2 linked regions of the Daphnia pulex genome follow. Each later gene encodes a partner of the first gene's protein in a complex. Links are inferred from orthologs where the notes say so. Each region holds a gene or a part of one and is shown in the gene's direction. Other genes may lie near its edges.

The links.
Region 2: pre-mRNA-processing factor 19-like (region 1) and peptidyl-prolyl cis-trans isomerase E-like share a complex: the UniProt entries of both Homo sapiens proteins name them as parts of the XAB2 complex. The link is inferred for Daphnia pulex from reciprocal best matches to the Homo sapiens genes PRPF19 and PPIE.

The regions. Positions count from the first base shown.
Region 1 is NC_060022.1:3,393,703-3,398,242, forward strand, and holds pre-mRNA-processing factor 19-like, read left to right. Parts: upstream 1-1,747; 5' UTR 1,748-1,860; coding exon 1,861-1,879; intron 1,880-1,974; coding exon 1,975-2,124; intron 2,125-2,186; coding exon 2,187-2,328; intron 2,329-2,388; coding exon 2,389-2,530; intron 2,531-2,594; coding exon 2,595-2,780; intron 2,781-2,836; coding exon 2,837-3,022; intron 3,023-3,101; coding exon 3,102-3,438; intron 3,439-3,505; coding exon 3,506-3,855; 3' UTR 3,856-3,993; downstream 3,994-4,540. Other genes in the region: heterogeneous nuclear ribonucleoprotein 27C-like, read right to left, coding at 1-61, 637-838, 1,042-1,249, 1,382-1,440. UniProt on the Homo sapiens protein: Ubiquitin-protein ligase which is a core component of several complexes mainly involved pre-mRNA splicing and DNA repair. Required for pre-mRNA splicing as component of the spliceosome.
Region 2 is NC_060020.1:8,629,251-8,633,059, forward strand, and holds peptidyl-prolyl cis-trans isomerase E-like, read left to right. Parts: upstream 1-1,688; 5' UTR 1,689-1,987; coding exon 1,988-2,024; intron 2,025-2,088; coding exon 2,089-2,261; intron 2,262-2,338; coding exon 2,339-2,746; intron 2,747-2,805; coding exon 2,806-2,993; intron 2,994-3,057; coding exon 3,058-3,193; 3' UTR 3,194-3,279; downstream 3,280-3,809. Other genes in the region: uncharacterized protein LOC124191929, read right to left, coding at 3,362-3,495, 3,591-3,693, 3,771-3,809. UniProt on the Homo sapiens protein: Involved in pre-mRNA splicing as component of the spliceosome. Combines RNA-binding and PPIase activities.

The DNA.
Region 1 (4,540 bases):
TAGTGTTCACCAGTGCAGCGATCCACCGACTCCTCCGATTCAAAGGTCAAAAAGCCAAAGCCTGTCCCAAGGTTTTCCAAATTGCTTATTACACTTTTTTTATACCACTTTTCTTTACATCTTTCTTTGATCTCATTAATAATCATTAGAAGAAATCTTGGGACAGGCCTGACTAAATTATTTTTCAACCATAACTTTTGACTGTAGATCTGATGAGATTGATACCGGATTCTAATACTTGAAGAGAAATAAATCTAATACATCGTTAAAAACTAGAGTTGTGATTATGAAAGAAATATTGACTCAACCCAATGGGTATGCCAATATTTAGTCAGATGTAAAACTTGTAAATCCACCCTCCCAAGTTCCTTAATGGCATATTATCTACTGTAATTCGCGGAAACTCTTTCACATGAGCAGTAGAAGTAAACGTGGATAGGAACTTAGCCATTTGCTTACCTATAGGAATAAAATAACCACACTATTAAAGTTAGCAAAGTTATCAAAAAAGGAATCCATCGAATCTTCGGAATATAACCACTTACACTTGCGTCATACGTTATGTAAGGACGTTCATAGTTTATTTACGCTGTTTTAATTAACTTTAATACCCACTAATTGAGGAAAGTGACTCACCTCGAGATTTTTTCTTTTCTTGGTCGTACATGATAACGACTTCAGAGACCTTTCCGTACTGCGAGAAGAAGTTACGAAGATCTGTTTCTGTCAAGTTTGATGGAAGCCCACCTAAAAATACTTTGTAACCATTTCCTGTACCCATACTCCGGCGAGGAGCGCGTACCATTTCGGCACGTGGATTACAAGGTTTGGGGTCAATCTGCATAAACATAAAAATATGAGATCATAAAAAACAACCAAAAATGTAGAAAGAAATCAAATATATATCTCAAGTTGAGATATAAACTTCAATTCCTTCCACTTCTATGTAGCAATACCGCGAAAGGAGATAAAATTATGTTAAACATTCTATCACCGCTCAGGTAGTGCAAATAAGAGTATGAAGAAAATATAAAAACTTACTGTGCGATTATCGAGTATATGGGGTGTGTTTTGTAGTACTAAACCAACATTGTTAGGATCAGCAAATGTAATGAACCCAAACCCTCTCGATCTACCAGTTTCTGGGTTCTTCATTACCACACAGTCAACAACTTCACCATACTGACTGAAATATCGAAGCAAATTATCGCGCGTCGTTTCCCAGCTTAAACCTCCGATGAACATTTTACTAAAAAAACAAGATTCGTACCAAAAAATAGTAAATGGACGCAAATCATGAAAAGCTTAGTGTACGGCGTCATGGATTTACATTCTCCCATGAACTTCACATGTCATATTATAAATGGAAAAAATTTCTTACCCTTGTTCATTCGAATTATCACCACCTTCTTTTCCAGGGAATTTTTGTTGAGAGGCCATTGTTCAGTTTAAATTGAATATAACAGTAAACGAATCTTTCAAATTTTCGAGGAGTGTTCGCACTGCGCTTGGGTTGGCTTCTTCAGTTGAGAAATGGGGGAAATGGCTGGCCCGGCATTTCAGTCAGTTTGCACCGTTGCCTGGACACTTTTTCTAGTTGAAAACTTGAAACTTAAATTATGAAATTATTACTTATAAAAAACTATGCTGTTTCTTTTACACATTCCAATAAAAAAATTTCTGAGTCTTAAAAAAATGATTGGATTTTGAAAAGAAAAGAAAACTCGCACTGAGGAATGAAGCGCTTTATTGAATAGTGTAGTCTAGCAACTGTTTAGCCCTAAGCGAAGCGAACATATGCATCTTGGCTTGTCGCACATTTTTGTGAAAAGTATATAAAAAAAGGTTACACGCTTCATCATGGCCCTCTGTTGTTCTCGTAATATTACATTTTCATTATAAATATCAATTTAAAACCAATCCATTCTTCTGAGAAATTTGATATTTAATGTCTTATATCTCTTGCTTATATAGTGTCGAACGAAGTTCCCGAACATCCTGTGGTCTCACCGGTGTCAGGATCTGTGTTTGAACGTCGGCTGATTGAAAAGTACATTGCTGATAACGGGGTAGATCCCATCAATGGGAAAGAAATAACTGTAGATCAACTTATTGAAATCAAAAGTAAGAAATTTTTTATCAAAGTTCCACAATGAATTTACATGTAATTGAAATTTTGTTTCTAGCCCCCCCAATTGTTAAGCCTAAAGTGCCATCTGCAACAAGCATTCCCGCCGTGCTTAAGTCTTTACAAGATGAATGGGATGCTGTCATGTTAAATTCCTTTACTTTGAGGCAACAATTACAAACTGCTCGACAAGAATTGAGGTATTGACCAACTTAATTACACATGGAATTATTGTGCAAACATTCTCTTTCTATTTGTAGTCATGCTCTCTACCAACATGATGCTGCTTGTCGTGTTATTGCACGCCTCCACAAGGAAGTGTCTACAGCACGGGAAGCACTTGCAACTCTTAAGCCCCAGACTGGCTATGCTGCTGTATCTACACCATCTGTTGCTGCCTCAGTAAGAAAGCATTATGATATTTATTTGTATGTTATTTATGATAAATTTACTGATTTGATGTAAGGCTGAAGCGGGTGGTGTGGCAGCACAACCGATCGAGGCAGCTGGATTAACTCCGGAAATCATATCACAATTACAAGATAAAGCCACTGTTCTTACTCAAGAACGAAAACGTAGAGGCAAAACCATGCCCGAAGGCTTAGCTACAGCAGAAGCTTTGAAGGGATATAAAACTTTGGCATCTCATCCGGTAATGACATATAATTTTGAAATGTTATCCCATCTTCATGGATTGATTACATATAGGCTTTGCACAGTGCAAGTATGCCCGGAATTTTGACCATGGACGTTCACGCCGCCGATACTTCTCATATTTTGACTGGAGGTAACGATCGATGCGCTACAGTTTTTAACAAGGACACTGAGCAGGTTGTTGCTGTTCTCAAGGGACATACAAAAAAAGTTACCAAGGTGCTTTATCATCCAGAAGAGGTAATTTCATGTTTTCTTTTAATTTTCTCTTGATTTACTTTGTTATATGATACTAATATACCCCTTGAATCTGTTATAGGAAGTCGCGATAACAGCATCTCCTGATGCGACGATTCGTGTTTGGAATATAACCGGCTCCTCACAATCTGCCATCATCCGTGCTCATGATGGCCCTGTCACAGGCTTGTCGCTCCACGCAACCGGAGAATATGTTTTGTCGACGTCACTGGATCAACACTGGGCATTTTCAGACATTCGCGTTGGGCGGTTGTTGACAAAGGTTGCCGACACAGACGGAAATCCGCTTACGACAGCCCAGTTCCATCCAGATGGTCTCATTTTCGGCACTGGAACACAAGATTCACAGATCAAAATTTGGGATTTAAAAGAACAATCTAACGTGGCCAACTTTCCAGGTTTGGCTCTTTTAAAATAATCTTGTGATAAACATTAGCTTTACTATTACCATTTTTACAATTACAGGTCATTCCGGTCCTATTGCGGCTTTGTCATTTTCAGAAAATGGTTACTATTTGGCTACAGCGGCAGAAGACTCTTGCGTCAAATTGTGGGATTTACGGAAATTGAAGAATTTTAAAACAATTCAGCTCGACGAAGGATACGAAGTTAAGGACTTGTGCTTCGATCAAAGCGGCACCTACCTTGCTGTGGCTGGTACCGACGTGCGTGTTTATCTCTGCAAGCAATGGGAAACTCTTAAGACTTTTAACGACCATACAGCATTGGCTATGGGAGTCCGTTTCGGCAACCATGCGCAGTCGATAGCGTCTGTGAGTATGGATCGTACGCTGAAAATTTATGGCATCGAGTGATTCACTGTATTCAATGTTGAGAGGGGATTTTTAAATGAACATTTTTCGTCTTATCCTTTTTTTTGCTGTAAGGTGTGCAAACCGCATCGAACTCTCGCCCTCACAAAAATACACGCGTTTCATTTTTCCCATCAAAAACAATTCTACGAGTGTATATCGATAGTTAAGTTTCCCGCGTTACTATCGATACATTAAATAAAACAAAAAGCTTCGAAATTTTGTCACTAGTGGCGTGGCAGTTCGCTTGGCATTTTCGCTTTCTTGAAGCATATCCCAATGGCGGCTTAGGCAATCGATGCATCGGCCGCTCCTTCGTACAGGGGTTTATGTATTTGGCCTAAAATGCCGGTCGACTCTTGTAAACAAGGAATAGTGAGATCATACTACGTTAATTTCAAATTTCATAGTTCAAATTCTTCATATTGGATTGCTATCCTGAATCAAGATTTTTCCAGATAAAGTACGAGGTAAGTCGCCCAAAAACAGTTCCTTCAACCGTCGCTTCTATCAAGTTGCATTGTTGCATCTTTTGTAATTGGAAGCGTGGTTTTGTTGAATGAATAAAATTTTCTGCCCTTCAAAAAATTTGTCTTCTTTAATTTGACGCATTTTTTTTTCTCCCTAAAGAGTTGACACAACTACTTTAATTAGCTTACACATTAATCAGAACTGTTTTATGATGATT
Region 2 (3,809 bases), on another chromosome or scaffold:
TTTCTCTTGAAGAAAGCTGGGCAGGACAGCTATTTCTTGGCTTTTACACAATCCACCAACTGAGAAGCTCTTTGGTAATGTTGAAATGTATGAAGAGTACAGTCCATTAAACTTGGAGTTCAAAATGAAGAAAGTTAGACATTCTGCTGTAGTCATACTGAACTGTAGTAAGTCAGGAATCTCTGCCAAAACTTTTTCTTTAGTGATAAGAAGACTTTGGGGGATCTGGACTAGCAGATGGTTAGGAGCTATGTTAGACATAGCCATGAGACCTCGTCCAGTGCTATTAAACAGAGCTGGCTTTGTAACTAAACAATTTTTTGACACAGCATTCCAACCATTCGCACTCATCCATTTACAAAGTTCAACGAATTCTGAATGTGAATCAATCCGAAGTGGGCGAGAATGCACAATTCGAACCAACCTGTTTCGGATTCTAGATGTTCGTCCCATGTTTTTTTATAATGGAAATATATTTAATTTAACACCACAACTTTATACCACATTCATATTCTCACAGTTTTTCAATAAACTCACGGCGGTTTTCTTTTCGAATAGAGATGAAACAATTGGTTAAAATGAAATTTACGGCTGCTTACACTTGACTTCAAATCTTACTGAGTTTACACTTTACACATTTTGTTTACATCAGAGTGATCAGACGACTATGAGTTGACAGTGACAGGAATAGGGACGGGTGGGTTGAATCCGAAGTGGCTAGTCCGCTTTCATATGTATGGTTTGAGATGTAGCCCTTTACGCACCAGGAAGTGCTTGATTTCTAGTACATCTTTTGGATCCTAGGGCAAAATGCACGCCACTAGAGGCGCTATGCCCACGAAGTGAACGAACTAATGCTTGTCGCTTGACAGCTCTTTTTATACTAAATGCTATCCAGCACTCCCTAATGCATTAAAAAGGACGTTGCCTTCCCCCAAGCCTAGAGAGTAGAGACGTAGCAGTAGATACGTCTAAATAATTTTTTTACTTGACATAAATCATTTTCTATGATAGCCTAGCCTTAAGCCCTTAACTTTCCAAATTAATTAAAAAGAAAACCGTTATTCGTACGCAGGTACACTATCCCTTAACGGAAGTGTGAAAAAACAGGTTCGGTTTTAATTGAATAACTGAAACGCTATTCATCACAAAGAGAAAGATTTGAAAATAAATGCGGAACTTGCATTTGAGACAACCAGACGTCAACGAAAAAGAAGTGCGCGTTATTAAGATCTACCTCTAAAATTTATGCGATCTCTTTTGTCGTTAAAGAAAATCGGCCCAAATATTATATATTTTGAGATAAAATCCGCGGGTTAATGTCAATGGATTTATTAGATCCAATTCCTTGTTGTAGTTATTATATACCAGAGAGATGTATATTTTTCCTATATCACTGGCAAAACCAACAGTCAGATTCACGTCGATGTCCGTTAAATTTTTCTTAAATTTTTGGTTTAGTGCTTTAGTCTCAATTTTAAAAAAATTCCGCGATCCTCCCATCAGATACCTTAAAGTAGCAGCGAAGAAGCAACAAGTTTACTAGTTTTGGAGTAGCCTTTTTATTTTGCGTTTATTTGAATTTATTTTGATTCAAATAAAATAATCTGATGGGCTATTTGAATTTGGAAAAATCTCCAAAAAGTCGCTAAAAAGCGGAACAGCCACTTTGGTTCTAGCTCTACTGATCGTATAACGAAGCGAAACATGCTGTCTGCAGTCTCTGCACTCTGACGAACGTGTTTGACTGTTTGCCCACGCCAGTTTTCAGTTTGATTAGTCTGCAACCTGTGAATCGGTATTTTATTATTGTCCTCACTGTGCATAATAATAAGGAAGGTTTAGACAGTGATATTTATATATTACTCATTAGCTTATGGGGATGCTTTGAACATTGAGAATTTCAATACTTTACGTAAAGTTTTTGAACACGTAACCTCGATTCTTGATAATCTTTCTTGTGGTGCATTCAAATTTGTGCCGCAACATGTCATCTAACAATGCCAAGCGAAACATCTATGTCGGTAAGATCAAATAACATATTTCAGTCTTACGAAATGTAATGCTTACTGTGATTCATTTTAACAGGTGGCCTTCCTGATGAGGCAGATGAATCAGTAGTGCGTGCAGCCTTTATTCCTTTCGGAGAAATTGTTAATATAGAAATACCTCCAGATTATGAAAATCATGAAAAACATAGAGGTTTCTCTTTTATTGAGTATGAACTAGCTGAAGATGCTGCTGCCGCAATTGATAACATGGTATTCTCACAATTTCTTACAGTTTATCTAGTAAACAAATATTTAATTACTTGCCATCATGGATGCCTTTCTTTCAGAATGATTCTGAGTTGTTTGGCAAAACAATTACTGTAAACATTGCAAGACCTCGGAAAATTAAGGAAGGATATTCTAGACCAGTTTGGTCAGAGGATTCTTGGTTGCAAAAATATGCTGGAAAGACAGAAGAAAATAAAAATCCAGTGGAGGAAAACAATAAGGAATCAACTGAAGGGAAAGACAATGTTTCTGAATCTGAAACTAAGTCAGCAGTTTCTAAAAAGCCTCGCGGCAACCCTCAAGTGTACATGGATCTTAAAGCTGGAAAAATCAATTTGGGCAGAATAATTATTTTATTGAGAGCTGATGTCGCCCCTAAAACATCTGAAAATTTTCTTGCTCTCTGCACTCATGAAAAAGGTTATGGATTCATGAATTCCAGTTTTCATCGTATTATTCCAGGATTTGTAAGCGGAAAGCTCAGTTTTAATCAATATTTATTTTTATTAACGTTCTTTTGCAAAAGATGTGTCAAGGTGGTGATTTTACTAACGGTGATGGAACCGGTGGTCGATCAATTTTCGGTGGAAACGGGAAATTCGAAGACGAAAATTTTACGTTGAAGCACAACGGTCCTGGTATTCTGTCTATGGCGAATTCAGGCCCAAATTCAAATGGATCCCAATTTTTTCTAACCCTTGACAAAGCAGAATGGTAGGTTTTTTCCCTGTTAAAATATCATAGTTATAATGCTAATAGCACCTTTATGTTTTCAAAGGTTGGATAACAAGCACGTCGTATTTGGTCAACTTCTTGCCGGCCTAGATGTTTTACGTAAAGTGGAGAAGTACGGAACAAAGTCTGGTAAACCGACTGACAAAGTCATTATGTCCGCCTGTGGAGAACTATTGTAACACATGAATAAAAGAAGCTTTTTTTTAACTACATTGTTTAATGACCAATGTCTTGTGCTCATGAAAAATATAAACAAACAAATTGATTGGACTACAGTATATTCCAACCCTCTTCCCTCCCGGAAAAAAACAAAAAAACAAAAGAAAAACATTAACGTCATGGGTCCTTTAATTTTCGTTGAGATTTTCATATTGATTGATCCAGCTATGAATCAAATCTTGGATGTAATTGTCTTGCAGGTCTTTGGGTATCCGCGGTCCCGGATAATTCAATTCTTTATTTAATGCGCCTGTTAGTTCATCTAAACAAGTAAAATAATTGGTATGTTTACAGGAAATTCCCAAGTTTGACATTTTTTAGACACTGTAAGGTATTTGAATGAAAAAAGATATTTACTAATATTCATATTAGGCCACAAATCTTGCTTCTGATTCATAATGGGAATTTCATTGGATATACGGCCAAAAGGTTCCTCCCCAACCATTGCCGCCCGACCAGACTTCGAAAGATATATATATTTTTTTTTAAGTTTAGAAATAATTATCTGATTTTTTACGTCTACTGTGGACTACACACCTCCGTGGAAATATCCTTGCGCCTACCCAAACGAGGAAC